Xenopus tropicalis: one gene and its partners. The protein of the gene in region 4 interacts with the protein of the main gene of each other region in a biochemical or structural test. Links are inferred from orthologs where the notes say so. Each region holds a gene or a part of one and is shown on either strand. Other genes may lie near its edges.

The links.
Region 1: the proteins of src (region 4) and asap1 form a complex in vitro, tested with the Homo sapiens proteins (2 studies listed by BioGRID and IntAct). The link is inferred for Xenopus tropicalis from reciprocal best matches to the Homo sapiens genes SRC and ASAP1.
Region 2: the proteins of src (region 4) and khdrbs1 form a complex in vitro, tested with the Homo sapiens proteins (8 studies listed by BioGRID, with this or other methods). The link is inferred for Xenopus tropicalis from reciprocal best matches to the Homo sapiens genes SRC and KHDRBS1.
Region 3: the proteins of src (region 4) and mapt form a complex in vitro, tested with the Homo sapiens proteins (3 studies listed by BioGRID and IntAct, with this or other methods). The link is inferred for Xenopus tropicalis from reciprocal best matches to the Homo sapiens genes SRC and MAPT.
Region 5: of the proteins of src (region 4) and shc1, one has a biochemical effect on the other in vitro, tested with the Homo sapiens proteins (4 studies listed by BioGRID and IntAct, with this or other methods). The link is inferred for Xenopus tropicalis from reciprocal best matches to the Homo sapiens genes SRC and SHC1.
Region 6: the proteins of src (region 4) and ldb3 interact in a test that uses a peptide from one of them, tested with the Homo sapiens proteins (2 studies listed by IntAct, with this or other methods). The link is inferred for Xenopus tropicalis from reciprocal best matches to the Homo sapiens genes SRC and LDB3.
Region 7: of the proteins of src (region 4) and ptpn11, one has a biochemical effect on the other in vitro, tested with the Homo sapiens proteins (2 studies listed by BioGRID and IntAct). The link is inferred for Xenopus tropicalis from reciprocal best matches to the Homo sapiens genes SRC and PTPN11.

The regions. Positions count from the first base shown.
Region 1 is NC_030682.2:142,238,293-142,242,983, forward strand, and holds the start of asap1 (arf-GAP with SH3 domain, ANK repeat and PH domain-containing protein 1), read right to left. Parts: upstream 3,093-4,691; 5' UTR 2,809-3,092; intron 1-2,808. UniProt on the Homo sapiens protein: Possesses phosphatidylinositol 4,5-bisphosphate-dependent GTPase-activating protein activity for ARF1 (ADP ribosylation factor 1) and ARF5 and a lesser activity towards ARF6.
Region 2 is NC_030678.2:86,520,968-86,525,614, reverse strand, and holds the start of khdrbs1 (KH domain-containing, RNA-binding, signal transduction-associated protein 1), read right to left. Parts: upstream 3,219-4,647; 5' UTR 3,215-3,218; coding exon 3,121-3,214; intron 363-3,120; coding exon 235-362; intron 1-234. UniProt on the Homo sapiens protein: Recruited and tyrosine phosphorylated by several receptor systems, for example the T-cell, leptin and insulin receptors. Once phosphorylated, functions as an adapter protein in signal transduction cascades by binding to SH2 and SH3 domain-containing proteins.
Region 3 is NC_030686.2:17,254,581-17,258,657, reverse strand, and holds part of mapt (microtubule-associated protein tau), read right to left. Parts: intron 2,666-4,077; coding exon 2,480-2,665; intron 1,392-2,479; coding exon 1,280-1,391; intron 1-1,279. UniProt on the Homo sapiens protein: Promotes microtubule assembly and stability, and might be involved in the establishment and maintenance of neuronal polarity.
Region 4 is NC_030686.2:39,476,699-39,481,534, forward strand, and holds the start of src (proto-oncogene tyrosine-protein kinase Src), read right to left. Parts: upstream 3,242-4,836; 5' UTR 3,080-3,241; intron 2,949-3,079; exon of another isoform or gene 2,873-2,948; coding exon of another isoform or gene 2,864-2,872; intron 1-2,863. UniProt on the Homo sapiens protein: Non-receptor protein tyrosine kinase which is activated following engagement of many different classes of cellular receptors including immune response receptors, integrins and other adhesion receptors, receptor protein tyrosine kinases, G protein-coupled receptors as well as cytokine receptors.
Region 5 is NC_030684.2:145,082,936-145,087,171, reverse strand, and holds the start of shc1 (SHC-transforming protein 1), read right to left. Parts: upstream 2,801-4,236; 5' UTR 2,086-2,800; coding exon 1,489-2,085; intron 1-1,488. UniProt on the Homo sapiens protein: Signaling adapter that couples activated growth factor receptors to signaling pathways. Participates in a signaling cascade initiated by activated KIT and KITLG/SCF.
Region 6 is NC_030683.2:49,220,961-49,224,083, reverse strand, and holds part of ldb3 (LIM domain-binding protein 3), read right to left. Parts: intron 1,532-3,123; coding exon 1,362-1,531; intron 1-1,361. UniProt on the Homo sapiens protein: May function as an adapter in striated muscle to couple protein kinase C-mediated signaling via its LIM domains to the cytoskeleton.
Region 7 is NC_030677.2:163,824,588-163,828,664, reverse strand, and holds part of ptpn11 (tyrosine-protein phosphatase non-receptor type 11), read right to left. Parts: intron 3,219-4,077; coding exon 3,139-3,218; intron 3,053-3,138; coding exon 2,894-3,052; intron 2,658-2,893; coding exon 2,526-2,657; intron 1,122-2,525; coding exon 967-1,121; intron 1-966. UniProt on the Homo sapiens protein: Acts downstream of various receptor and cytoplasmic protein tyrosine kinases to participate in the signal transduction from the cell surface to the nucleus. Positively regulates MAPK signal transduction pathway. Dephosphorylates GAB1, ARHGAP35 and EGFR.

The DNA of each region.
Region 1 (4,691 bases), on a different chromosome or scaffold from region 4:
CTTTCCCCTGTCTCTGTCCCTATATATTAGGTACCTACCTAGTGCTACCAACCCCTATTTCTGTAGGGAAATGAGAGCAGGGCAGGCAGTAACCCTTCCAACACTTTCCCCTGTCTCTGCCCCTATATATTAGGTACCTACCTAGTGCTACCAACCCCTATTTCTGTAGGGAAATGAGAGCAGAGCAGGGTTGACCGAAGGCACGGACTAGGGGTAGACAGACAGAAGAGGTACATGCTTGCTGCCCACCCTTGCGCCCACCTGCCTACCCCTATTTCTGGCCCATTGCCTTTGCCCCTTGTTCCTACCCTCACTCTGTCCCTATGTTTCCCCTGTCCTCACTTACCATTTTGCCCCCAGGCAGCCCCCTCCCCATCACTCAGCAGCACATAATGACAACTTGCACAAAGAAGTGTCTATTTTATTCTAAGGACATGTGATAAATCTCTGGGTTTTGGAAAATGCAATAAAATAACACAAATATTGTTCCTGCTTCATATACACAATTTTAGATCTCAGTTGTCGAACCGTTACATTTTGCGCAGAAATCCGATCATTTTGCTCATCTCTACTATTCCGCTTAGAGAATTAGGTGGTTTTAGCTAGGAAATGCTCTCTGCTATGTTCCTTCTCATGTTAGTGTGTATCTCTTTAACCCTGTGTGCGCTGCATGGCGGCAATGAATGGAATGTAGGCAGTCGGAACTTTCTGTGCACGGCGTTAGTGCTTGTGTGCATTGATATTCAAGCCTGTGTGTGCACAAATTACAGGTAACATTGCAAAATGACTGCACTTTATTTTATTATATACACCAGCGCAGCCAATGAGCTATTGCTGAACTACACCTCCCGGCCAAAGTCAGTTTGTTTATCAGATTTACCTTATCCCTTAAGCTGGGGCCCCTAAGACTGCTCAACACTAACTCTGTTTATACAGCGCCTCTCTGAAAGCCCTGGTAGCTTCAAGCCTGTAATTAATTCAACAGGACCCCACACATCACCCCATAGCATGGCCGTGCCCCCACTGATTCACAGCAGTTGTTTCAAACCAAGCTGCCCCCTACAGAAACTGAAAACAGACTGTAAGCTCTTCTGGGAATAGTTTCCTTTGATCCCCTGTTTAATGTTCTCCTGTAAGATATAATTACCCCTTATTGGGGGCAGAACAGCCCTATTGGGTTTATTTAATGGTTAAATGATTCCCTTTTCTCTGTAATAATAAAACAGTACCTGTACTTGATCCCAACTAAGATATAATTACCCCTTATTGGGGGCAGAACAGCCCTATTGGGTTTATTTAATGGTTAAATGATTCCCTTTTCTCTGTAATAATAAAACAGTACCTGTACTTGATCCCAACTAAGATATAATTACCCCTTATTGGGGGCAGAACAGCCCTATTGGGTTTATTTAATGGTTAAATGATTCCCTTTTCTCTGTAATAATAAAACAGTACCTGTACTTGATCCCAACTAAGATATAATTACCCCTTATTGGGGCAGAACAGCCCTATTGGGTTTATTTAATGGTTAAATGATTCCCTTTTCTCTGTAATAATAAAACAGTACCTGTACTTGATCCCAACTAAGATATAATTACCCCTTATTGGGACAGAACAGCCCTATTGGGTTTATTTCATGGTTAAATGATTCCCTTTTCTCTGTAATAATAAAACAGTACCTGTACTTGATCCCAACTAAGATATAATTACCCCTTATTGGGGGCAGAACAGCCCTATTGGGTTTATTTCATGGTTAAATGATTCCCTTTTCTCTGTAATAATAAAACAGTACCTGTACTTGATCCCAACTAAGATATAATTACCCCTTATTGGGGGCAGAACAGCCCTATTGGGTTTATTTCATGGTTAAATGATTCCCTTTTCTCTGTAATAATAAAACAGTACCTGTACTTGATCCCAACTAAGATATAATTACCCCTTATTGGGGGCAGAACAGCCCTATTGGGTTTATTTAATGGTTAAATGATTCCCTTTTCTCTGTAATAATAAAACAGTACCTGTACTTGATCCCAACTAAGATATAATTACCCCTTATTGGGACAGAACAGCCCTATTGGGTTTATTTCATGGTTAAATGATTCCCTTTTCTCTGTAATAATAAAACAGTACCTGTACTTGATCCCAACTAAGATATAATTACCCCTTATTGGGGCAGAACAGCCCTATTGGGTTTATTTCATGGTTAAATGATTCCCTTTTCTCTGTAATAATAAAACAGTACCTGTACTTGATCCCAACTAAGATATAATTACCCCTTATTGGGGGCAGAACAGCCCTATTGGGTTTATTTAATGGTTAAATGATTCCCTTTTCTCTGTAATAATAAAACAGTACCTGTACTTGATACCAACTAAGATATAATTACCCCTTATTGGGGGCAGAACAGTCCTATTGGGTTTATTTCATGTTAGATAGAGATCCAAATTGCAGAAAGAACCCGTATCTGGAAAACCTCAGGTCCAGAGCATTCTGGATAACAGGTCCCATATCTGTATACATTTATACCCCCAAGTACTTTAGCCCTAACTTTATAAACTTACAAATAAATGCAGATTTTAGTCCCAGGTTGGCTGCATTATTTTATATGATATCCTTATCCCCTTCCCTTTTAACCTTACGTCTCTAAGAGTTGCCGGACTATGATTCCCAGAATGAATTAACCCTTTGTTATGTCGGAAGGATGCAAATAAAACATTTATACCAGTTGTGGAACGCACCAAACTCTTTCAGTCTCATTCGCTTTCATTCATTCGCGTTTCTCTCTTTTTCTTTCTTTCCCGCACTCACCAGAAACCATCCAGTTCCAATTCCCATTCCAGGCTCTTGTCCTCTCACGATTAAATCCATTATTCCATGATCCGAGAGGAAACAGACTTCCACACAAAGAAGGGGGGAAACATATTCCAAAAAGAAAAAGTGTAACCCAAAAAGAAAAAAAAGTGCCTGAACAAATGTTTCTTTTGTAGAATCTAAAGCTCTAAGTCAGATCATTCCTGGGAAGTGCTTGGGAGAGATCCATGCAGCCTCCTGGTTAATGTAAAACACTGGAAAGAGCGAGGGGCAGGAAGGGGAATCAGGCATGTGAGCAGGAATAAGAGAAAAAAAAAATGACTTTTTTTTTTTTTTTTTGGAAAGCGCTTGGGTTGAAAGCAGAGGGATTTCAGGAAATTCAAAGACTCCAACAGGAAATCTGAACACTACACTACAGGCATTCCACCATCTGGAGAGTTAAGGGCACAGCGTTACATCCTGCCCGGCCCGGCCCTGGGAGCCCAAATGTACATTATCTCTCGGCAGATATTCACATCACTGCTTGTTAAAGCAATATATTGATTTACAGAGGGACCACAACTCTTCTGCCCCCCCCCCCCCAGGCTATTTGCTATGGACACGGCTCAGCCTCAGATGCTTTACATATACATAATTCATCACAAGGGAAATGTTCAGGGAGGGTTGCTAAAAATGGGTCTGCCACGGGACTGCTTTAGCTCTAAACTTTATTGGGCTAGCAATAATATACCTACAGGAGGGTGTTATAATAGGGCCCCCCAGCAGGGCACATGAGGCTGTGAAGGGGTTATTCACCTTTGAGTTAACTTTTAGTATAATGTAGAAAGTAATATCCTGAGACAATTTGCAATGAGGGTTTACTAATAGTGTTTACAGCTTGGAATTTCAGAAGCTATCTGGTTGCTAGGGTCCAAGTTACCTTAGTAACCAGGGAGTGGTTTGAATGAGAGGCTGGTTCAGGACCCATTATCCAGAATGCTTGGGATGAAGGGTTTTCCGGATAAGGGGTCGTTCCGTAACATGTTAGATAGATAGATATATAGCAGATAGATAAATAGGTGATAGATAGACAGACAAATAGGTAGACAGATAGATAGATAGATAGATACACAGATGAAGTAGGTATATATTATGGTTACAATATATATCTATTTATATATTTAAATGGATAGATAGACAGAGATGAGACAGATAGATGAACTACATCGATAGATGGCAGATAGATAGATAGATAGATAGATAGATAGATAGATAGATAGGTGATAGATAGATAGATAGATAGGTGATATATAGACAAATTGACAGACAGATAGATAGATGATAGATAGACAGACAAATTGACAGACAGATAGATAGATGATAGATAGACAGACAAATTGACAGACAGATAGATAGATGATATTCGAGATGTCTGAGAAATGATATAGTTCCATTTTATTTAACTGTTTAGAGAGAAAACTTATATTAAAGTAACATTTTTATAATTAATTACGCATTGAAATTGTGTAGGTATTCAGTAACAGAGAGCAGCGCTCCCAAGGAAGCAGGTTGTGCGCAACAGGAAGCTGCATGTATGTCGCGCAGCAGGATTACTGGAAGGCACAGCGCAAAGGAAAACTCCTCAACTGATAAAAAAACAAGAAATGCATTGTTATTTGGGGGTGACTCAGTATTACATTGCTCGTGTTTTGTTTCTCTATATTTTAGTGATTAGCCTGCCAAATATTCACAAATGTTTGCACTGAAACGTGAAACAGGGAGAGCAAACTCAAGCATTTTATCCATCAAATTATTAGTCTTGTTATAAAAATAGAGGGTAATGGATCAGGATATTTGAGAGTTCTGAAAAACGCTGAGAATGCTCATTTGTCATTACTCTG
Region 2 (4,647 bases), on a different chromosome or scaffold from region 4:
ATTGCATAACAATCTTTAAGCCAGTTGCTGCAAAAAGACTTATTGCAAAGTTTCCCTACAGTTTCCTCAATGGCTTTACATGTAATTAGTTCAAAGGTGCCATGTGGTAGAATGTAGCCCAACAGTGTTATCAGACTGGAGTGACTGGTTGATTTGTTCAGGTCAGGAATCTTTAATGTATGTTGCGGCAACCTTCTCATGTAAGCTTTACAATTGTTTCCTAAAGAATCTTACCTTGGGATACAGCTTGACTGGTATCAAAATGCGCTCTTTTAACTTCATGTTTTTATGGGAAAATAAGTCCAGATAAGTATCTTCTTCATCTTTCTTGGCATCACCTCCCTTCTTCAGCCTTTCAATTTCTGTATAAATTAATTTGGATGTTTTTATTATCTTTTAAACATTTTAGCACAACTGAGCAGTGGCAAGAATTTCAACCTCTTTTTTGGGGTATCCCCTACTAAAAGGCATCACAGCATAAAACAAAAGTGCATAGAGTGAACAACATTTTGTGTAGAAACCTACTGCCAAGTATATTTATTCTGTGGACAATCACAAAATCTATAGAAAAAAAACTTCATTTAATACGGGTATAGGACCCCTTATCCGGAAACCCGTTATCCAGAAAGCTCTGAATTACGGAAAGTCCGTCTCTCATAGACTCCATTTTAATCAAATAATTCAGAATTTTTAAACTGATTTCCTTTTTCTCTGTAGTAATAAAACAGTACCATGTAATTGATCCCAACTAAGATATAATTAATCCTTATTGGATGCAAAACAATCCTATTGGGGTTAATTAATGTTTTGATTTTTTAGTAGACTTAAGGTATGGAGATCCAAATTACGGAAAGACTCCTTATCCGGAATACCCTTGGTCCCGAGCATTCTGGATAATGGGTCCTATACCTGTACCAGGCAATTTCCACCCAGCTTAAAAAAAAAAAAAGACCAATTCCATCCATTCTGCGCAGAAGGATGGAATCCTCCCATCACCATGCTTATGGGGCAACATTTTGCCAGAAAATAAATCTTTTGCACTTTCTTGCCAAAGCCCAACAAATGCACACAGTAACAGGAGGATAGCATTACTTTAAGTGACTGCACAAGTGGGGCATATTGACATCAGCCTTACTAAAGGATGGACAAGAGTTCACCAGGGCTACCCTAAAATTGCAAGAAAGCTTCACTGTCACTGACAAACACTACTAATGCATTTCATTCTTATCCTTCTGATCTACCACCCCCCAAATCTGAACGGGAATACCCAATGCACAATAGAAAGAACAGAAATATAGGGTAATCTGCAGGGGAAAAAATAGCTACAGCCCTTCATTTTAAAACACAAGATTTGTAAAGACCAAGGAGTCGTGTGAGGATAAAAAAAAAGAAATCTGATTGGTATTATATAGACTTCAAGTTTACTTCTAAGTCTGTATTGGTATCGAGGCTACATTTGTAAAATTGAAACACTACATAGGAATAGTCGATCATTTTTTTTTTTCAATCATGCAAAAGACAACCGCACAACTAAGGAGTAAATGCATTATATTAATGCAGCTTATAACTAGGAAAAAATAAGCAAATGAAATCTTTGCCTTAAAAAAAGTCTTGGTTCAAGCCTTTGTGGTCCATCATAAAATCAAAGCACCCCTAGCTTCAAAAATACATGACAAATACTAACCATACAAATAAATGAAACTACTGACCAATCGCCATACTTCACTTCCAAACAGGTATTGCAAAGCAAACCAGTTTTTACACATATTGTAACCCCCACACAGTCCAATGCTTTAGCCAAACATATATATAGATCCTTTCATACAATACAATTGTAATCAATGTTAAAACTTTTCAGTTACAAGGACTGTTGGAAATGTTTAAGAAATGTTAAACATGTTAACATGTAGCAGAAATAAATTCTCTCTTGCACATACAATGGGGTTTATACCCTGACCTCCTCTAGACAAAGAACAGCTGCCAACAGAGGGAGGAAATCGTCAGTATCTCTCACAGAACAAAGAAGCTTTTATGTAGAAACCATGGGCAAACAGTGCCATTTGGATCTCATTCCCTTGCTACATCACAGAACTGGTAACACAGCATATATACATTGTACAGATTACCACAGCAGGTCACAATAAATGTACTCACAAGACAAAAGATATGAAACAAGCAGCTGCCCCCATATCTACTAATTTCCAAACAAATAAATAGGTAACCCTATTAATTTGTTTGTAGAACCACATGGTGACTCTACCTAAGCTGATCAGAAAACCCTGCACTACACTGATGAGCCCCAAGAAGGGCAAAACCGGTCTGTAGTTGGGAATCTGATCAGCTATTGTCCTGGCTTCAGCTTCAAACCCAGTGGGTGAGCTGTAGCCTACAGGATAAACCCATGTAAATGGGATTTTTTTTTTTTTTTTTAAGAGTCTGGAATTCATTACCAGAATTCCTTTTGTTTACTAATTTCCAACAAATTATTCATGTTTCCTAAAGAATAAGGACACAGCACCTTTTGCTATGTAAGGGATATATATTCTAATAAAGGGTAAACAGAAAGGCTGTGGGGGTCTGACTGAAGGCCATACAGTGTGATTTGGGGACAATGCATTTTCTCCATCAGATACTTCACGTTTAACATATCATTCCCTAAATATTTCTGAAACAATGATTATAAGACAACGCGGACTTCAATTAAAGGGTCTGGTCTTAAAAGGGATTTGGAAATGACAAAACAGTATCTAAGTCGGCCTGTATTGCACCCATGGGTTACACTGTGTGTAGCATCATACAGGGATATGCCTATGGGAAACCCAGTAGCAGCAACATTCGGAAGGCAGTCCCCCAATTTGTCTAACTTCGAACAGCAGCTGCAAAAACACGGCCGTGGGGGAGGGTTGGTCGACAAACCAGACACTGATCCACAGCATGCAGTGAGCTCAAAGCCGCCATTATTCTTTGCAACCTAACACACGCCACATGGCCAAGCATAGCAGGCCCGAATGCATAAAGGTGTTTTTACTCCAATCCTACTACCTAGGCCCCTGGCCTACTCCCTTTGTCCCCCTCACGCCAAACCCTTAAATGAATACACCCCGCCCGAGCCCGACTCACCCTTGCCCAGGAGGCTCATAGCGTGCGTGAAAGATGGGTCCAGGCTGTCCTTCTCAGCCATCAGTTCGGGTAAGTATTTGGTCTCGGTCTCCATGTTGCTCGGTTCGGTGTTACTGGTCGGCAATACGCTCAGTGCTGGTGTCGATAAGAAAATCCGCTCGCACTTGCACGGCCTCAACAAAAGAAGAGATCGTAGCTAGCACCGCCCACCGGAAGCAACGTAACACCACCTGGGGAGGGGAGAGCGAATTAAAACTGCGCGCTAGGCAACACGGGATTTCCGCTCCCCGTACAAAGAAATGAGACTTGAATGAAAGCGTAGTGTATTAAACATGGATTCTGTGTTTTGGATGGCTAGATACGTGACAAAAGATGGCACGTTGTTTCTACGTATAATGGAGTCTGGCTTGTTACTGTAAGACCGTAGCTTAATGTGACTTACACTGTAGGGCAGGGATCCCCAACCTTTTTTACCCGTGAGCAACATTTCAATGAAAAAAAAGCTGGGGAGCAACACAAGCACAAAAACTTGCCTAGTAGGTGACCAATAAGGACTCAGATTGGTTAATTAGTAGCCCAGTGTGTACTGGCAGACTACTAAAGGCTCTGTTTAGAAGTACAAATGGTCTTTATTCCTCCAAAACTTGCCTCCAAGTCAGAAATTCAAAAATGGGCACCAACTTTGAGGCCACTGGGAGCAACATCAAAGGGGCTGGTGAGCAACATGTTGCTCAGGAGCCACTGGTTGGGGATCACTGCTGTAGGGGATGAGGGGGGGCACAGTTGTAAAATCAAATGCCCGTCATTTAGAAAGGTTTCATGTTCTGAGTTTAGAACTAATTCTGGCTCCAAAAAAGAAACTTGCACGTGTGTAGATACGTTTCAGTGGCCTTGTAGCTGTAAATGTGTTCTCTTTGTATGTGTTCACCTATAAAGTATGAAGAATGAGACTACAGTAGAACCCCCATTTTAAGTTTTTCAGGGGGCCAGAAATAGATGGCGCAAAATCCCTGATTTTACATTTTCCCAGAAGTTTATTATTTATTAGTGGGACCAAAAAACGATGGTGTAAAATGCAGGAAAACTTAAAATCAGGGGATGTAAAATTGATGTTTCACTGTACTTGGCTGTGTGGTGTAATGCAAGTCTATGATTAGGAACCCTGTGTACCCAGAGAAAGTATTTATTTTAAGGACCTTGGTTCCTCCTTTTACTGGTAATTATATGGGCTAATGTGTTGGACATCTTATGTTCATGGTTATTCAGTTACAGTATATTCCCTAATTACTTTTGTCATTGCAAAAAAGGAGGTTGGCCTTTTATATAAGCTGATGCTGCATGGCTGATTATTAAAATCTGATAATTGCACTGGCTTTAGAGCTGCCATGTAGTACCGGTAATCATCTGTATTTATTACTAGTCAGCCTTATATTGTGACATTTATATTGTGTATGTAGAGTATATTGTGAGCCACAGAGCTGTCAATCACCCTTGTTTTATCGGGAGTTATCTTGGTGGTTCTCCCCC
Region 3 (4,077 bases), about 22 Mb from region 4:
CTATAGAACCAAGCCCACTCTCCTACAGAACCAAGCATGCTGTCCTACAGAACCAAGCCCACTCTCCTACAGAACCAAGCATGCTGTCCTACAGAACCAAGCCCACTCTCCTACAGAACCAAGCATGCTGTCCTACAGAACCAAGCCCACTCTCCTACAGAACCAAGCCCACTCTCCTACAGAACCAGCCCGCTGTCCTACAGAACCAGCCTGCTGTCCTACAGAACCAAGCCCACTCTCCTACAGAACCAAGCATGCTGTCCTACAGAACCAAGCCCACTCTCCTACAGAACCAAGCCCACTCTCCTACAGAACCAGCCCGCTGTCCTACAGAACCAGCCCGCTGTCCTACAGAACCAAGCCCACTCTCCTACAGAACCAAGCATGCTGTCCTACAGAACCAAGCCCACTCTCCTACAGAACCAAGCCCACTCTCCTACAGAACCAAGCATGCTGTCCTACAGAACCAAGCCCACTCTCCTACAGAACCAAGCATGCTGTCCTATAGAACCAAGCACGCTCTCCTACAGAACCAAGCACGCTCTCCTATAGAACCAAGCCCACTCTCCTACTGAACTAAGCCCGCTGTCCTACAGAACCAGCCCGCTGTCCTACAGAACCAAGCCCACTCTCTTACAGAACCAAGCCCACTGTCCTACAGAACCAAGCCCACTGTCCTACAGAACCAAGCCCACTGTCCTACAAAACCAAGCCCACTGTCCTACAGAACCAAGCCTCCTGCTGCACCATAGATCAGTCCCAGGTATCACTGTATCAGAAACCTTCCCATATCATATGTTACGCCCTTAGTAGCTTGGCTGCTTACACCTATCTCCTGTGCCACAAATCCTCACCCCCCTTCCTTTAAATGGCTTTCTACCTCAGTTTCCTATTTCCTCTCACATTACTTCTGTATCCCATTCCTTATGCCACTAAATACTTTACATTCCCCTGGATTCCCTTTCCTATATCACTTTCTCTTTTTCCACTATCTGCTCCATTTCCCTTTCTCTGTAGTTGCCTCTATCACATAATGCAAGCTTTTCTCTTCTTTGTATTCCCATCAGCTGTACTGGCATTTACCTGAATGTCAATACACTTGGAAAGCTGCTGGTTGGATCTAAGTGGTCTAAATTATTCTTCCACTGACTCATATCTTTTATATGCCAACCATATCACCCTAGCCCATGTGCCAATGAGGATTTTAGTAGTGAATTTATATTCTGCTCCCACTATGGTGACATCTTGCCCAAAGGCTTTTGCATCCCTACAAACTTACCACTAGGGGGGGTCTTGGGGATGGACGAAGTCTTTGCTGGGATTCTGGAGGCGCTGGTTGCATTTCTTGAAGCACTGAGCTGGCTTTTAGCACTTTCCGGACCTCCAGCCTCCTGGCAACCAAATATGTGTTATTTTGTGCATAAGTCCATTCAGTGGCAGCAGTGTTTGCTTGGGGTTTATCACAGGACTTGTGTCAGGTCCACTCACACACCCAAGCTCAAATATTCTCATAATACAAAATGGTTATCAGGGAATAGCTAGTAAGCAAATATAGCAATATTTTTTATCTTTGTCATCTTCTAATTCGCCTTTGTGAATAATGATAGGCACAGGGCACTCAGCTCCCACCCACACGCTCCACTAGGTATGACAGTCTCTTGCATCCATGTGACATATACGTATCTAGAAATCGCAATACTCTTCCGTCCTATATGAGCCTTATCTACCCTGCACTAGTCTTGTCTTTATAGTAAATCTATAGCATGCATTTACTGAATACCAAATTAACGTAAAAGTACCCACTTATGTTTCTCCACTGCAGTAACATGGGGGGGCAGGTGTCAAGAAAAGAATGGTACATGACAGGCACATAAATACACACTTTGAGACTGGGCACAATGAATAAAACCATAAAAGCAAACTAAAAGCAGCAGTGTGTTGGCTAGGGTGCTGCTAAGGAAGCCTTGGGCCAGGACAGATATAATACTATTGTGACAGGAGTGTTAAAAGAAAGACAAAATGCTGTGAATGATTATTTGGGGTTTTTCAGGCTACAGCCAGAGAACATTGAGGCCACAGGCAACATGGCCAGCATATAAAGCAGGGCACATATAATTCCTTTACAGCAGGCCAGGCCTGGACTGGAAGTCAAAATAGGCCCTGGCATTTCAAGTACACAGAGACCCAAACAGCCCCCCACAGGCCCAATAAATAGTGACTGTCTATGGCATCTTACAGCAGCCCCTCTGGTATTTCCCAGAATCCACAAATTGCCAGTCTGGGCCTGCAGCAGACCCAAAAGGCTTGGAGGCCATGGAGGTGAACTAAGGATCTTAAACATATGGGATATCACCAGTCTATCATTTCCTGTGTGAGACGGACGTATTGAACTGAGAGCAGTTGCAGAGAGAATAACACTGCAGATTTAGCATGGAGCCCACTCTGCATTAACCCTTGCATGTTGCTCTGCTTTCCTTACCTTGGCTCTGTGCAGCCTTGCAGTAACGCCTGGCTGGCCAACTGCACCAAGTGATGTTCTCTGAATGCTCCGTACTGATGAGGCAGCTGGACTGGAGGGGCTTTTTGAGGTAATAGAGGGTGACTTTTGGGGAACAGTGTAAAGCCTGCTCTTGGCATTTTTGGCAGGGGGGTGTTTGGTGGATATCTTCAGAATGCAAAACAAAAGATTAAAGAAGCATCCAAATAAAAAGGCAAACAAAATCAAACATAAATGAAGATGGTAAAGGTAAGATCAGAGCTTTGAGGTGCAATCCCATAATCAGGTGGCCATACACAGACCAACTCTATGGATATACTATCACCAGACGTATTCTTCATTTGCCCCCGAATGGTCTGCTAGTGCTAGGATTAGTAACCTGTTACCATCAAATCAAATTTACCATCAAATTGGTCCCAATTTAAGTGTGGGTGTCTAATCTCCACCAGTATTGTGAAATTTGAAGATTAAATACTGGTGGGGTGTAATCAATATTGGTGTTGACCCTTGCAGTCAGCCATAGTAAGAAATTTGCATTTAGCTCTGTTTTGTCCAGTTATGTCCATTTCTTTCAATGAAAGCAATCGTCTGACTGGCTGCTATGGGGCGCTGTAGTCCGATGACATAATTGACAAATGGATTTGTAAATAACCTGGAAAAACACATGGATGCCAGACAGATCTGGACTGGGATTCTGAATAGGCCCTGGCATTCCAAGTACACAGAAGCCCAAACAGCCCCCCACCAGCCCAATAAATAGTGACTGTCTATGGTGTCTTGCAGAGGTCCATCTGGCATTTTCCAGAATCCCCAGATTGCCAGTCCGGGCCTGGTGCCAGACTGCAGAAATCCAAAGGGCTACGTGGCACAGCTGACTACACTCACATGCTAAAGAAGCTTGTTGATCCAAAAATAAATTAGCCAGGGCCACTCCATCTGTTTTGGACCCAACCATGTTAGGAAATAGCAAATGTACTAAGCTAAGTGCCCAATCATTAAAATAAAAAACACCAGATAGTCTTGATTTCATCTCTTGTGTTTTTATCATCTGACAAATTTGATGCTCATGCACCTTGGATTTTGCACCCTAAAGCAAAGATCTTGGATAAATCAAAATTAAGAAGATAAGTGAATTGAACAAAAGTATAAAAAATAATGGTCTTAATTGGAGAGAGTCAGAAAGTGCCTGTTTGTACCCAGACAAGATAGGGGGTACGAGATCCAGTGTGGGGAGGATGAGAAGAATCTCAGATTGAGCAAGAACCTGTGTTTCCCTAAAGGTAGTATAAGCATGTTTGTCTCTTGAGTAGAATAATCAAGTGGCTGTATTATGTGCCCACCTACAAAGCAAACAGGATCCTGTGCCCCCCTACAGGCAGAATGAGCAGTATTATGTGCCCACCTACAGAACAAACAAGATCCTGTGCCCCCCTACAGGCAGAATGAGCAGTATCATGTGCCCACCTACAGAACTAACAGGATCCTGTGCCCCCTACAGGCAGAATGAGCAGTATCATGTGCCCACCTACAGAACAAACAGGATCCTGTGCCCCCTACAGGCAGAATGAGCAGTATTATGT
Region 4 (4,836 bases):
TGCAGTATCTGCCTGGTTCATACACCCTGCACTTCTGGTTCTGACTCCAGAAACAAAGTAGCCCAAGCCAGCTGTTTAACAGGCCTGAAGGATAAAAAAAAGGACTTTTGCTACCTTGTTTCAGAAGTCAGAAAGGGGGTAAACAAAGATAGCCTTCAATAGGAATTGCATTTAGAAATAATTTTAAACCTCCTGGCAATCTTTCATTAATGAATACAGGAATGTCAATTTTTAGATTTTCCTTCGTTGTACAAATAACAGATTTTGGCCTGAGGATCCCTTTAAGTTCATCCCTTTGTGGGGTTGTAAGTGGGAGGGAGAGATGTGAGTTTAACCAAGAATGGCAGGCAGGCTGTAACACGTAGCTGGCTCGGAAGGCTCAGAGTACACAGGGTGAGAGAGGGGAGTACACTCCAGATTGCATTCTGATAGACTCAACAGGGATTGAGGCACGTGTGAAGGTGAGCTGGGATTTAGCTGGCTCTAAGGCAACTGTAGCCTCCACCTAGTACAAAACTACAACTCCCATCACCCTCGGGAGTTGTAGCTTTGCACTAGAGGGAGGCCAGAGCATAAATTTTTGGTTGAAAAGACCTGCTGATTTTATCTAAAGGTTATTTGCTAAGATACATTCATGTGTCAGTATATTTGATAAGCCGATGATAACAAAGCCTGGCACACGTTGCCCTTTACCCAGCCTAGCTACATAGGCCCTTCCCAACAACCTAGCATACATACCCCTGTATCAGAAGCCTTTCACTTGTACCAACAGTCTGGTACATATAGCCCTTTACATACAGTGTAGCAAATATACCTCTTTGACTACAGCCTGGCACATGTATCATTGTACTCAGAGCTTGAGAACTCACATACATATACCTACAGCCTGGCACATATACCACTGTACCCACTGCTTGGCACTTATGTACCTATACCTATAGCCTGGCACATATACCACTGTACCCGCTGCTTGGCACTTATGTACCTATACCTTCAGCCTGGCACATATACCACTGTACCCGCTGCTTGGCACTTATGTACCTATACCTTCAGCCTGGCACATATACCACTGTACCTGCTGCTTGGCCCTTATGTACCTATACCTACAGCCTGGCACATATACTACTGTACCCGCTGCTTGGCACTTATGTACCTATACCTTCAGCCTGGCACATATATCACTGTACCTGTTGCTTGGCCCTTATGTACCTATACCTACAGCCTGGCACATATACCACTGTACCCACTGCTTGGCACTTATGTACCTATACCTACAGCCTGGCACATATATCACTGTACCTGTTGCTTGGCCCTTATGTACCTATACCTACAGCCTGGCACATATACCACTGTACCCGCTGCTTGGCACTTATGTACCTATACCTACAGCCTGGTAAACAGCCCCTTCCTTTATCTAAAGCCTGGCACATATACCACTGTACCCACTGCTTGGCACTCATGTACCTATACCTACAGCTAGGGATGCACTGAATTGAATCAGAACACTAAAAATCATGTGCCTTTTTGTCATATAAACACAGAAGTTGAAATTTTTTCAGCGCAACCTGCGCACGAGGCTCGCTTTAACCCTTCCCTATCCTAATTTACATATGCTTGGTATTTGGCCGAATCCTTTACGAAGGACACTGAGTTTGACGGAATCTGAAAATAGTGGGTTTGGTGCATCCTACGTATAACCTAGCACCCTTAGCCCTTTACCTACAACCTGGCACTAACAAGGCGACATTGGAAAGTTATGATCATGGCCCTAAAGCCTCCTGCTTTAAAAGCTGCACAGCAAATGGTTAAAAGGGGGAGGGATACCCATTTGCTTGAGTACATTCATAAACATTTACCCTTGCCATTTGCTAATTGTAGCAATCACATAGTTAAAAAAAAAAACAATGCTGCCAGCTCTGTATGACATTTAATACCAATCTAAATTTAGATATAAACTATAATAATTGTGCAACCCACTGCCATAGTAGCTGTTTGACCATTGTGTGTGTTTATATGCAGAATTGTTCCACATACATACACAGGTACATAGCATAGTTTTGCTCCCCAGAACTACCCATACCTATAGAGCTGGGTTGAATTTTAACTCTCAACTTCAACCAGTAGCAGGATGGCCTTTGGTTTATTATAGAGAGGACTCACAAGTGTACAATCTATGATAACCCACCATGCACGCCTTGTACCCTTCACCACTCCTCCATGCATGCCCTGTACTCTCCAGCCATCCTTTACTCCCTGTACCATTTACCCACACACACCCTGTACCCTCCTGCATTCCCCCATACATGCCCTGTACCCTCCTGCATTCCCCCATACATGCCCTGTACCCTCCTGCATTCCCCCCATACATGCCCTGTATACTATAGCATTCCCCCCATACATGCCCTGTATACTATAGCATTCCCCCCATACATGCCCTGTATACTATAGCATTCCCCCCATACATGCCCTGTATACTATAGCATTCCCCCCATACATGCCCTGTATACTATAGCATTCCCCCCATACATGCCCTGTATACTATAGCATTCCCCCCATACATGCCCTGTATACTATAGCATTCCCCCCATACATGCCCTGTATACTATAGCATTCCCCCCATACATGCCCTGTATACTATAGCATTCCCCCATACATGCCCTGTATACTATAGAATTCCCCCCATCCATGCCCAGCACACCCAATATTGCTAACTAGCCCCTTCACTCCCCAATATTCTCTCAACTCCAGACTTGCCCAGTGACTCCCAGCATGCCCCCATCTCAAAATCATGTGTTAAATGTACGCTAGCTTATTGGCCCAGAAGTTTAACCCCTGATGTTCGCAGGAAACATGCTGCACTTACCCTGACCATTAAAGGGCCTGTGTGCACAACATATACACAGGCATACCCACCGAATACCGGGCCAGAGTGAGATTTAAAGGCCCATATGGTAGCAGTGCTCCAAATACCCCCAAAGGCGTTACATACACCATTCCCAAGCAGCCTATAGCGCCCCCATTCTCTGCACCCGTGGTACTATCCTACGCCCCCTAGCGGCACGGTGCAGCCACTACTTACCTTGTCCTGCCTGAGATATCGGGAGATTCCACTCTCCGGGAACCCCCCTCACACAGAGGGGGGCAAGAGCGCTCTTCTCGTACCCACTATCTCCCGGTGCCTCTCCCCACACATCAGATTCCTCCTGGGCCGGGAAGTTTGGGGATCTACTCAGCGTACGGTTCACGCCCGGCCGGCTCCAGCTCCCTCCTCCCCTCCGCCTGTGCTGCCCTCCCCCGGGTCCGCCTGTCCCTCCTCCCACTGAATCAGCCCTGGCCCAGCCTGTCACTCCCGTTGGGGGGTCTCTGTACTGCCCCAGTGACACCCAGCCTGCTCTCTCACCACAGTCCGGGGCGCTTATTAATTCGGCCTGTCCCTTTTTGTCTTTCCCCTTTGTCCTTCCCCTTTCATTTGCATTATTCCCCTCTCAGATCCCACCTCTAATCCCAACACTTCCCCCTCTCTCCTCCTCCCCTCCCAGAGCTAGCCTGGCTTCCCTTGTCTTCCTTTCTCTCATTCTTCCCTGGTGAGTCGCACCGACTGATTCACTCAACTAGAGGAATTACACAACCCTATACTTCTCCCCATACACCCAGCACCCACCCCTCTAGTACTTCTCCCCATACACCCAGCACCCACCCCTCTAGTACTTCTCCCCATACACCCAGCACCCACCCCTCTAGTACTTCTCCCCATACACCCAGCACCCACCCCTCTAGTACTTCTCCCCATACACCCAGCACCCACCCCTCTAGTACTTCTCCCCATACACCCAGCACCCACCCCTCTAGTACTTCTCCCCATACACCCAGCACCCACCCCTCTAGTACTTCTCCCCATACACCCAGCACCCACCCCTCTAGTACTTCTCCCCATACACCCAGCATTACATTAACATTTATTTATAAAGCGCCCACCCCTCTAGTACTTCTCCCCATACACCCAGCACCCACCTCTCTAGTACTTCTCCCCATACACCCAGCATTACATTAACATTTATTTATAAAGCGCCCACCCCTCTAGTACTTCTCCCCATACACCCAGCACCCACCCCTCTATTACTTCTCCCCATACACCCAGCACCCACCTCTCTAGTACTTCTCCCCATACACCCAGCACCCACCCCTCTAGTACTTCTCCCCATACACCCAGCACCCACCCCTCTAGTACTTCTCCCCATACACCCAGCACCCACCTCTCTAGTACTTCTCCCCATACACCCAGCACCCACCCCTCTAGTACTTCTTCCCATACACCCAGCACCCACCTCTCTAGTACTTCTCCCCATACACCCAGCACCCACCCCTCTAGTACTTCTCCCCATACACCCAGCACCCACCCCTCTAGTACTTCTCCCCATACACCCAGCACCCACCTCTCTAGTACTTCTCCCCATACACCCAGCACCCACCTCTCTAGTACTTCTACCCATACACCCAGCACCCACCCCTCTAGTACTTCTCCCCATACACCCAGCACCCACCTCTCTAGTACTTCTCCCCATACACCAAGCTCACATGTCTCTAGTACTTCACCCCATACACCCAGCACCCGCGCCTCTAGTACTTCACCCCATGCACCCAGCACTCCCACCTCTAGTACTTTTCCCTAGCTCTTTGTGAACTATTGTTTGGATGACTGTTATCTGGTTGCTAAGCCTCCAATGACCCTAGCAACCAGGTAGTGATACCAGTGGAGATTAAATAGGAAAGCTTGAGCAGTGCATTGTAATGTATCACCCTGCATTGTTCACACCTCAGATTCAGGCTGTAACCCCC
Region 5 (4,236 bases), on a different chromosome or scaffold from region 4:
GGGTAGGGGCACAGACAGCAGGTAGGAGTAGAGGGTAGAGATTGGGACTAGAGGGTAGGGGCACAGACAGTAGGTAGGAGTAGAGGGTAGAGGTTGGGACTAGAGGGTAGGGGCACAGACAGTAGGTAGGAGTAGAGGGTAGAGGTTGGGACTAGAGGGTAGGGGCACAGACAGCAGGTAGGAGTAGAGGGTAGAGGTTGGGACTAGAGGGTAGGAGCACAGACAGCAAGTAGGAGTAGAGGGTAGGAGCTGGGACTAGAGGGTAGGAGCACAGACAGTAGGTAGGAGTAGAGGGTAGGAGCTGGGACTAGAGGGTAGGAGCACAGACAGTAGGTAGGAGTAGAGGGTAGGAGCTGGGACTAGAGGGTAGGGGCACAGACAGTAGGTAGGAGTAGAGGGTAGGAGCTGGGACTAGAGGGTAGGGGCACAGACAGTAGGTAGGAGTAGAGGGTAGGAGCTGGGACTAGAGGGTAGGGGCACAGACAGTAGGTAGGAGTAGAGGGTAGGAGCTGGGACTAGAGGGTAGGAGCTGGGACTAGAGGGTAGGAGCTGGGACTAGAGGGTAGGAGCTGGGACTAGAGGGTAGGAGCTGGGACTAGAGGGTAGGAGCACAGACAGCAGGTAGGAGTAGAGGATAGAGGCTGGGACTAGAGGGTAGGGGCACAGACAGCAGGTAGGAGTAGAGGGTAGAGGCTGGGACTAGAGGGTAGGGGCACAGACAGCAGGTAGGAGTAGAGGATAGAGGCTGGGACTAGAGGGTAGGGGCACAGACAGCAGGTAGGAGTAGAGGATAGAGGCTGGGACTAGAGGGTAGGGGCACAGACAGCAGGTAGGAGTAGAGGATAGAGGCTGGGACTAGAGGGTAGGGGCACAGACAGCAGGTAGGAGTAGAGGATAGAGGCTGGGACTAGAGGGTAGGGGCACAGACAGCAGGTAGGAGTAGAGGATAGAGGCTGGGACTAGAGGGTAGGGGCACAGACAGCAGGTAGGAGTAGAGGGTAGAGGCTGGGACTAGAGGGTAGGGGCACAGACAGCAGGTAGGACTAGAGGGTAGGGGCACAGACAGCAGGTAGGACTAGAGGGTAGGGGCACAGACAGCAGGTAGGAGTAGAGGGTAGGAGTACAGACAGTAGGTAGGAGTAGAGGCTAGGACTAGAGGGTAGGGGCACAGACAGCAGGTAGGACTAGAGGGTAGGAGCACAGACAGTAGGTAGGAGTAGAGGGTAGGAGCACAGACAGTAGGTAGGAGTAGAGGCTAGGACTAGAGGGTAGGGGCACAGACAGCAGGTAGGACTAGAGGGTAGGAGCACAGACAGTAGGTAGGAGTAGAGGCTAGAACTAGAGGGTAGGGGCACAGACAGCAGGTAGGACTAGAGGGTAGGAGTACAGACAGTAGGTAGGAGTAGAGGCTGGAACTAGAGGGTAGGGGCACAGAGAGCCCTGGTAGCCCAGAGAAACAAAGCCCAAGAAAGAGAAACATGGCCTTACCCTGACCAGATAGGGAACCCCGGGGCCCATGACCTTGTCGTCGGGGTGCAGCCAGCCTCGGGTGGGCTTATTGACAAAGCTGCCGTGCCGGGTCCATTCGTCGCCGGCCAGTTGGCCTCCTTCCACCCGGGACTTTCGCCCGCAGCTCAGTTTGTTCATATCCTGTGAGAAAACAGTGAAAGTCCGGCCTGATTCGGGGCTACTGCCTTCATTGGGGGTGTCCCCTTGCTCCCCGGGGCTGGCGCTCTCCTTCCCCCCCATGGAGGAAGAGAAGCTGCGCAGGTTAAGCAGGTTGGCCGGGTTGGAAAGTTTCAGGTTGGCCATTTTGGGGAAGAAGGAGCACAGAGTGGTGGGGCTCTCCTCCGACTCAGAGGACAGCTCGGCCAGCGGCAGCATTGGGGCAAGGGAGGAAGACGAGGCAGAGCTGGGCAGGGACACCATGATTTCCACCGAAGGGCTGAGGGGCCCAGCGGCCAAAGCCTCTTCCACCGAGCTGACCGACTCATTGCGAAGGTGATTGTATTTGGTTTTGGGAAGCAGATCCATGATGCCAGCTGCCAGCTTGCACTCGACAGCAATGGGGGGTCTGGTTCTCATAGTCCGGTACCGGGCAAACCTGTATACACGGATCTCCCTCCAGAACCCCACATTGGTACCCCTCCAATCAGCTAGAAAGGGGCAGCCAGGAGCCGGGCTGGGGCATTGGCTTGAGTGCCGGGGAGAGAAGAATCCAGCGGGAGACCAGCAGGTTCTGATCCGGGAGCCAGAGAGAGGAGAGTGTCACTTGGTGCATGTCCCACTCACTGTGCATGGGGGCCCCCTCCCACTGATCAATACATTCCCTACACGGCCGCTGATGGGTGGGTACCTCTCCCCTGGCCTGCGGGGCCCCGGCACCCTACGGAGAGAGGATATGGGAGAGCCGGCAGCACCGAGCAGGAAGGCAGCAGAGGAAATGCTGAGGGGGGGGGGAAATAAATCCATATATTTATATCTCCGATGTGCGGCTGGGGGCTCCTCTGGGGGAAAGGTCAGCGAGGGGGGGGGCTAATCCTTGTGGGAAAATGTGCAGATGGACACCGGGCCGGGGGAGGGAGCCATTCCACCTGCCTTCCTACCCATCTCTGGGGCAGGGAGAGAGCTCAGGTGCAGGGGGGGTGGGAGCCTTGCACTGTGTGCGAGTGTGAGTGAGGGACGGTGAGTGGGAGTCGGGATGAATGGAGCTGGGGCTGCCTGATTACCTATTCACTGGCTCCCAGGAGAAGGAGGCTGCTGCTGGCCAATAGCACGCGCTCTGCTGACTCACCCAGCTACTGCCCCCCCCTCACTTCCTCCTCTCAATGAAACCCACCCCCCCCCTCCTACTCACTACTGGGCCCCGGAGCTGACTATCTACTGCTTGCAACAGTCTCCCCATACATCACAGCCCTCAGTTCATCTAAGCCTGGGGGGCTCAACCAGCATGGAATAATGTGGGGGGGGCACAGAACACTAATAAAATATATATATTCCCAGTCACTTGTCTTTAGGGACTAACTATGGAATGGGGAGCTAGGGGCCCAGCCTGAAGGCCAGTTAGGGGTACCCCTGGAACTATAGCGGGGTGACTGTTACCCAAATGTTTCTATATATCTGTAACCTTGTTATGGGCTAAGGGGGCCCAGCCTGAAGGCCAGTTAGGGGGGGATTTGGGGTGAGTGCTTATTTGTGCCCTGGGTACCCCTGGAACTATAGCAGGGTGACTGTTACCCCAATGTTTCTATATATCTGTAACCTTGTTATGGGCTAAGGGGGCCCAGCCTGAAGGCCAGTTAGGGGGGGATTTGGGGTGAGTGCTTATTTGTGCCCTGGGTACCCCTGGAACTATAGCGGGGTGACTGTTACCCCAATGTTTCTATATATCTGTAACCTTGTTATGGGCTAAGGGGGCCCAGCCTGAAGGCCAGTTAGGGGGGGATTTGGGGCGAGTGCTTATTTGTGCCCTGGGTACCCCTGGAACTATAGCGGGGTGACTGTTACCCCAATGTTTCTATATATCTGTAACCTTGTTATGGGCTAAGGGGGCCCAGCCTGAAGGCCAGTTAGGGGGGATTTGGGGTGAGTGCTTATTTGTGCCCTGGGTACCCCTGGAACTATAGCGGGGTGACTGTTACCCCAATGTTTCTATATATCTGTAACCTTGTTATGGGCTAAGGGGGCCCAGCCTGAAGGCCAGTTAGGGGGGGATTTGGGGCGAGTGCTTATTTGTGCCCTGGGTACCCCTGGAACTATAGCGGGGTGACTGTTACCCCAATGTTTCTATATATCTGTAACCTTGTTATGGGCTAAGGGGGCCCAGCCTGAAGGCCAGTTAGGGGGGATTTGGGGTGAGTGCTTATTTGTGCCCTGGGTACCCCTGGAACTATAGCAGGGTGACTGTTACCCCAATGTTTCTATATATCTGTAACCTTGTTATGGGCTAAGGGGGCCCAGCCTGAAGGCCAGTTAGGGGGGATTTGGGGTGAGTGCTTATTTGTGCCCTGGGTACCCCTGGAACTATAGCAGGGTGACTGTTACCCCAATGTTTCTATATATCTGTAACCTTGTTATGGGCTAAGGGGGCCCAGCCTGAAGGCCAGTTAGGGGGGGATTTGGGGTGAGTGCTTATTTGTGCCCTGGGCACCCCTGGAACTATAGCAGGGTGACTGTTACCCCAATGTTTCTATATATCTGTAACCTTGTTATGGGCTAAGGGGGCCCAGCCTGAAG
Region 6 (3,123 bases), on a different chromosome or scaffold from region 4:
TTCCTATTTTGTCTTCTATGAATGGGTTTTTTCTAGCCTAGTCTCCCACTGTTGCTTTCATTATTTTGAGACATAGCATTCCTATTATGTTATAAGCCCCTAACATGAAACTAGCAGGATGAATGGTGTAACAACCCAAAGAATTGTGGACCAATAGTGATGAGTGAAATTTTTCGCCAGGCATGAATTTGCGGCAAATTTCCATGTTTTCGCATTGGCAGATTGTTTCGTGAAACGGATGCAAAAATTTGCCATGGAAACATTCAGCGCACAACAAAAAATTGTTGACGCACATAATTTTTGGCGTTTCGCTAAAAAAAAATTCACGGGCAGAAAAACAAACATTACATTTTTTTTTAAGTGCAGACAGATTCGCTCTTCACTATGGTTCAACATGGGCATAGCCAAATTGTGCTGTAAATGTATAACAGTACAAAAATACCATAAAACTACACATTCTATAAAATCTCCTTGCTAGTGTTATAAAAATGATCATGTGCTAAGCAACATTCAACCTTAGTTTTATACATCTGCTAACTGTATATTTGTATAATTGTATTTTTGTATTGTATTTTTGTCCATTTTAACTTATGACATATAAAACCACTTAGGTTTCAAAATGAACCTAAGTCCACTTTGCATTGATTTATTTATTGCAGTTTTTATTTTAAGCAAAGTAGATCGCTATAATTAATAATGATCCACTATCAGAGACAAAATTAAAACTAATCTGTAAAACTAATCTTTAAGAATTTGATAAAATAAGAAACTGTTATGGTAGAAACACAATCTATTTGGTACAGAAGTCTACATTTAAAGGGCACCTATTTTTAGGGAAAACTGCTATCTGGTTTGAAGAAGCGATACTGGCAAAAACAGTGGTGTACAGTGGTGGAGCAGATGGGGAGAAACTTTGAGCATGGCAACATCAGCGATGCACTCCTTTACTTATCCTTCCTTGAACAAGGGCTGTTCATATTGGGACACTTGTCCACAGGTAAAGTTCCAAAAGGTGGACATCCCCTGAATGTCTGGACTGGATGGCTGCCAGCTGTGATATTCCAATTTGCACCACCAGTTCTTTTTACACAAACTGGGGCATTCAGGGGATATGTTCATGCATTGACCCAATTTTTCATTTGCATAGCGAGATATAGTGATGCCTTAATGGCTGAGAGGGGCTCCAGGTAACTCTTGGATGGTAGTGCCACTGTCAATGCTAGTATTGTTTCCCATATACAGAGGTAAGCCTATGGGGCTAAGATAAATCTCTTATAAAGCAGCAATTTAACCATTTTTTATCTGTCTTAATTTGTCTTTATTTGTTTTAGTGGCAAAGTCATTAGAACTGTATTACTCACTGTATTCTGTTCCAGTGATATGTGCAAGGACACGGAAGGACTTAGACTGCAGATTGGCAGCACGACGTGCCCAGTCATCAATTTCACTCTCAGTTTTGCCCTGATTTTTAAGCACAGCCTGATACACTGGAGAAGCAATGTCTACGAGAGGATCTTTAACAGGGAGGTTACTGTAACGCACAGAGAAGTGAGTTGGAAATTGCCAAAAAGGAGATAAAAATTTTAAGGCCTCCCTACCATGCAGATACAAGACCAAAGTCAAACAGCTTACATACATAAAATTAGGGGAACAATTGAGAAATTAGTCAAAATATCACAAAAATTTGCACTTTGTACTGAATTCACCTACTGTTAAAAGACATGAAGCCATTTTAGCAGTGGAGTGGAAGCTGCAGGCCTTGCATTTTAGGAAAACTGAAACAACCAGTAGTGTTGGAAAATATTTCACGTGTTTTACAATACATGTTAATTAACTAGATATCTGTGAGCATTGAAATACAGACATAGCTCTATCTGTCTCTCCATCATCTTTCCATCTGTATATCTAACTACCTCTATGAAATACAGGTATGAGATCTGTTATCCCGAAACCCGTTATTCAGGAAGTTCAGAAAGTACAGGAAGGCCATCTCCCATTAACTCCATTGTAGTCAAAAAATTAATTCCTTTTTCTCTGTAATTATAAAACAGTACCTTGTATATGATCCTAACTAAGATATAATTAATCCTTATTGGAGGCACAAATTGGGTTATTTAATAGGTTTTTTTTTGGCAGGGTTACAGTCTGGAGATCCATCCCCTTATACAGAAGACCCTAGGTCCCAAGCATTCTGGATTACAAATCTCATACATAAATATCCTTAAATTATGTTACATATACAGTAGAGCAGAACACATTTACGTCTTCACAATCATGTTAGTTTTAGCAAAGTTATTTTATGGATAAACAGCCATTATATGTATTGCTATTTGATCAAACCTAATACTTTGCTGTTGGCTGCATTCTGCTGAGATTTTTAACATGACCAGTTATTTTACAATCAATAAATTATCAAGCTACACCCAGCAGGATTATTATCTGAAAATCAACTAAATCCACTATAAAATTCAATATACACTGGGCACAGTGATATAAAAAAAAAACCAGTAGGGCATAACATGAGTTCTTCATATCTACATGTCTATCCAGTTATATATATCTTGGTCTATTCTGCAATAGTAAAAACAACAATCCATATTTTATATCATCTTGCTATAGTACTATTTTGTTACACATATATTTCCAATACTATTGACCTTACAATACTAAAAGCTGTCTTAAGGCCATGTTTAGCTGCATTTTCTACAATAAGTTGCAGGTACTAAATGCAACCAAAATGCAATTAATTAAGTGACAACAACTCCAGGTACGGTTTTGTACGATAATATCGGGGTGTGTATGGCCTGCTTTAGACAGAAAAAATTTAGAACTACATTGCTTCAGTAATTGTACTATGTAATTTGGATAGACTTGGGTACAAGCTATTGAAATGCATAATTGAGCCATAAGGTTGTACTGTATGAAGAAGCTGATAATAGTTGATAAACTGCTTTTAGCAACTCTTTCAGAGTTATGTAATAACACATTAAAAAATACAGCTACAAAAATAAATACCAGAACACATATCATCTATAGGTGCACCTAAACTGTAGCAACAACACCATTCATGTATACATGGCTGCTTGAGAATAATTGTACATAGGCAGAAAGCCATAAGTGCAA
Region 7 (4,077 bases), on a different chromosome or scaffold from region 4:
AAAAGAAGCCATTTTTAGAAATTAAAAATATTTGATTAAAAAGGAGCCTATGAGAGATGGCCTTCTTAAAATCTGAAGCTTTCTGGATAACAGGTTTCTGGATATGGAATCCCATACATACCTACTGATAGTAAAGTGCCTTGCAAAAGCAGTTAGACCTTTGACCAGTTCTCACATTTTACTAAATAACAAATCCTACACCAACATTTTGGTCTCCTGCTAATTTTATTTGACAGAACTGAAACTACATTTTTTATTATGACATGGTTTAATGTATAAAAATTCTAAAACCATATCATAACAACAATACAAAGCGTTTACTTTAAAAAGTTATCTTTTTTGGCACTTTTTGTGCTTGAAAGGGGAAAACTATTTTAATATAAAAGCCTATATTAATTTATATCTGCATTTTAATGACAACCACCTTATCAACTGTGGCAGGTGGTTAGTAAACCAATGCACTGTGCTCATACTGTGTATCTTAAAAAATGTATTTAATATATTCCAAATAATTGACAGCACACAAAAAATCTTGTTAAAAAATAAAATACATTTGCACTGTATTTGTCTGCAATGGTTAGGATCAAATTCATGACAAGTTATACCTGCTGCAGCTAACCCTGTATTTTTACATTAATAATATTTTCTTGCAATGTTTCCAGGTCCATCTATCAATACTATGTCACCAAAGAGCATCTTAAATGGGCATTATAACACTAAAAGAGATAAAGTAACTGCTAAGGACAGCTGTGGTCAGAAAAAAACAATGGCATATATTGCAGGAATTAAATGGTGATAAAAGGAAGAAGAAGTTTTTAACCACTTTATAAAATCAAAAGAAGGGGAATTATCAGTCATTTGTTAATAAATCCATTAGACAAATAAAGGGAGAAGTTAGGGTTTGGTGGTCATTAATGTGTGTGTTTTGACAACAATAACATACTTCCAGCCCTGTACAATCCTTACCTGCAATGAACAACGACAGGCCCAGCATCAGCGATACCATCTTGTTTGTGGTGTACTTCCTCTAAAAAGTCCAAGACTCCACCAGGGTCGGTTGGTACACCATGATCTGGCCATGTTTTAAAATGGTATTGCCATACTGTCCTTTCAGTGTTCCCCTTTAGTGGGGGGAAAAAAACAAAAAAAACAAACTTGTGTTCAGCCATTGGTTGTTTACACAGAACAATAAATGAGCATTTACTTTATCCTAAGACAATACATAATCATAACGCCTGTAACTCCCACATAAAACAGAACTCTTAAAATAAAAATGTCATGCTAGAAATGTATCATTCTAGAAACATTATGGGGGAAATTACACTGTAGTGCAGTGCTGTCCAACTTCTGTGGTACCGAGGGTCAGAATTTTTCTGGTCTACATGGTGGAGGGCCGATAATGGAAGCCTGTTTTGACCACTCCGCTTTTTTAAACTGCACACACTTCAAATCACACCCAGCACAGAAAACCCCAAATGGTTGGTGCTCACTGTAGGAATATCACCCTTAATTTATATGTGAAAGAACTATATTATGTCATATTAAGCCACACCCTTAAATCCATGCCTCCTCCTCCCCTCTGGATAGCACAGCAACCCCCAGCACCTAATTACACACCTTAGGGACCATATAATGACTATTTTCAAATGCTAACAAACTTCCAGAACAAACCCCTGCCAGGTTCGCTTCCCACAGGCAGCATAGGGCAGGCAGAGTATGGCATACACAGGCAGCATAGGGCAGACAGAGTACTGCCTGTGTGTGCCATACTCTCCCTGCCCTACCCTGCCTATGTATGCCATATTCTGCCTGCCCTACCCTGCCTGTGTGTTCCATACACACAGGCAGAATAGGGCAGGCAGTACATACAGGAACACAATTCACTGCTCCTACAGTCGGAGGTGTGAACAATGTGGGTCTGAGCCCGAGGTGTGAATAATGCAGCGATTAAAAGGGGATTAAATATTTAAACAATACAGGGGTTTTCAGCCTAAATCTGAGGTGTAAACCATGCAGGGGGCAGTTAATCTCAGGACCAATACCATTTAAATCTTACACAAAGTTAAGCAGTCTCAGCAGCCTGACAGGTAGGGGCTACACAGAGGGAGGCATCCAGCCTAAAGGCCACCAGTTGGACAGCACTGCTGTAGTGGGTACTAAAGTGAATGATTAAACATTCTCTGTACAGCACTACAAAGAAGTTGGCACTGTAAATAAAGAGAAATAAATACTATTTGTAAGAGACCCTTAAATATTTTAAATAGTTTTATGAACATTTTTATTAAATATTTAATGGAAAATGTATAGAAAAGGGCAAAAATGGATCAGTAAGTACTAATAACTTACAATACAGCATAGCAGTTCACAGCTTTCTATCTGACTGGTTCCTAGAGTAAGTGACCCTAACAACTGCAGGTGGGAGTATAGAAAGCAATAAAAAATAGCAATATAAAGAAATATTGCACACTTTGAAGCTACCTACATTATGTTAGTAAAGACAAAAACAGATAAAAAAAAACACATACTTGCCCAACTTTGGAAAGCTTAAGCTCTCTTAGTATATAGTCATGAGCTGGAGTTTCTTTAACATTCCTCACACGCATCACCCCATATTCTTTCAAAGCAAACTCATCTGGCCAGTACTTTACACATTTACTCTGAAAAACAGGACACAGGAATGCAATTAATGCAAATCTGCAACAATTTTTCTGTTTGCAGCTTCATTGGCTTACTATTGCAGAAATTATATGATCCATATCTGAATCACATTCAGGAGCTGAGTTCCATGGCATGTTGACAAGCTACTAGTTATCAAACTATATACTGTATCTGTCCTAGAAGTACTGCTTCAAGAAGATCAGAATAAAATAGGACTAAACAAAACACAATGCACCTTTCCTCGTTCAACTTCCTTTGTGGTCATGACAATAACTCTGGAATTTTCTTGAAACACCATTCTCCAAAAATCATTCACTGTATTTTGTAGGCAGCCTTGTGTAGCAATGTAGCGTTTCTTGGGTTTGGGATTGTTGCATTTTGTTTCAAATTCAGGCTAAATAAGTCGAAAGGAAAACACACACAAATAAATACCATAACATTGGAAAGAAGAAAAAGGAAATACATATCATATATACTTACCATAATAATGTTAGCATTGATGTAATCAGAGACCTGTTCATTGGGGTCCCCATCGTGAAGCTCAACCCTTGTGTGATCAACTATATGTAAACACAGAGGTAATCAGTTTGTAAGAAATGAGCATCTCAGACAAGTTTTTTTAATTTTCTATATTTACTAATCACTGCAAGAGCAAGATTCCTAACATGGCACTGCTGGAGATTTAACCAAATTGTTTTTTAATCTATATGCACTAAAACAGATTGAACACAAAAAAATGCGAGACAATTTGTAGAAAACATTTGACTTTAAAATAGTTTCTCTTTCTTGGGGACTTTAGACTACAGCATGAAAACAAAAGCTATATAGTTTTGATACATGTTTGTCAGTAGCAGAAGAAATAATAAAAATCACAAACTGAGCCTAAATACACCTGGACATATAAAGTTTGGCTATAACAGTACTTGACAGGAATAACTTTACCCATTGCTGACTTTTCAGTACATCTGCATAGTATCACATAAGCCTCTGCTAACCACCGCAAAACTGGCATAGATTAATCTAAAACAAGTTCCCATAAAAGTACTTCATATCAGAGATGATCCAAAAGAATTGGGCGCCCGAGGCAACCCTTAGCAAACTTCCATTCTTGGTTCCAGTCCTCTGCTGCTGCCTCAGCTGCAAGAAACAAAATCACCAACCCTCCTCAACAGGTCCTTTGCCACTGCTACTGTAACTTGCACTAGCCATCCTTCATCCCCATTGCTTATTGCAAAATCAAGGATCTGAAGGAACAAATATCGCCCTTGGCAGGTGCCTACCCTGACTACCCCTTTGTCCAGTCCTGCTTCATATGAAAGGGACAGACTGCTTATGCATGAGTGCGTGTATTTGTATATACATTTAGGCAATCACCAAAAAGTGGAGATGCATTAAAACAGAACAATTGCCTTCTCAAAA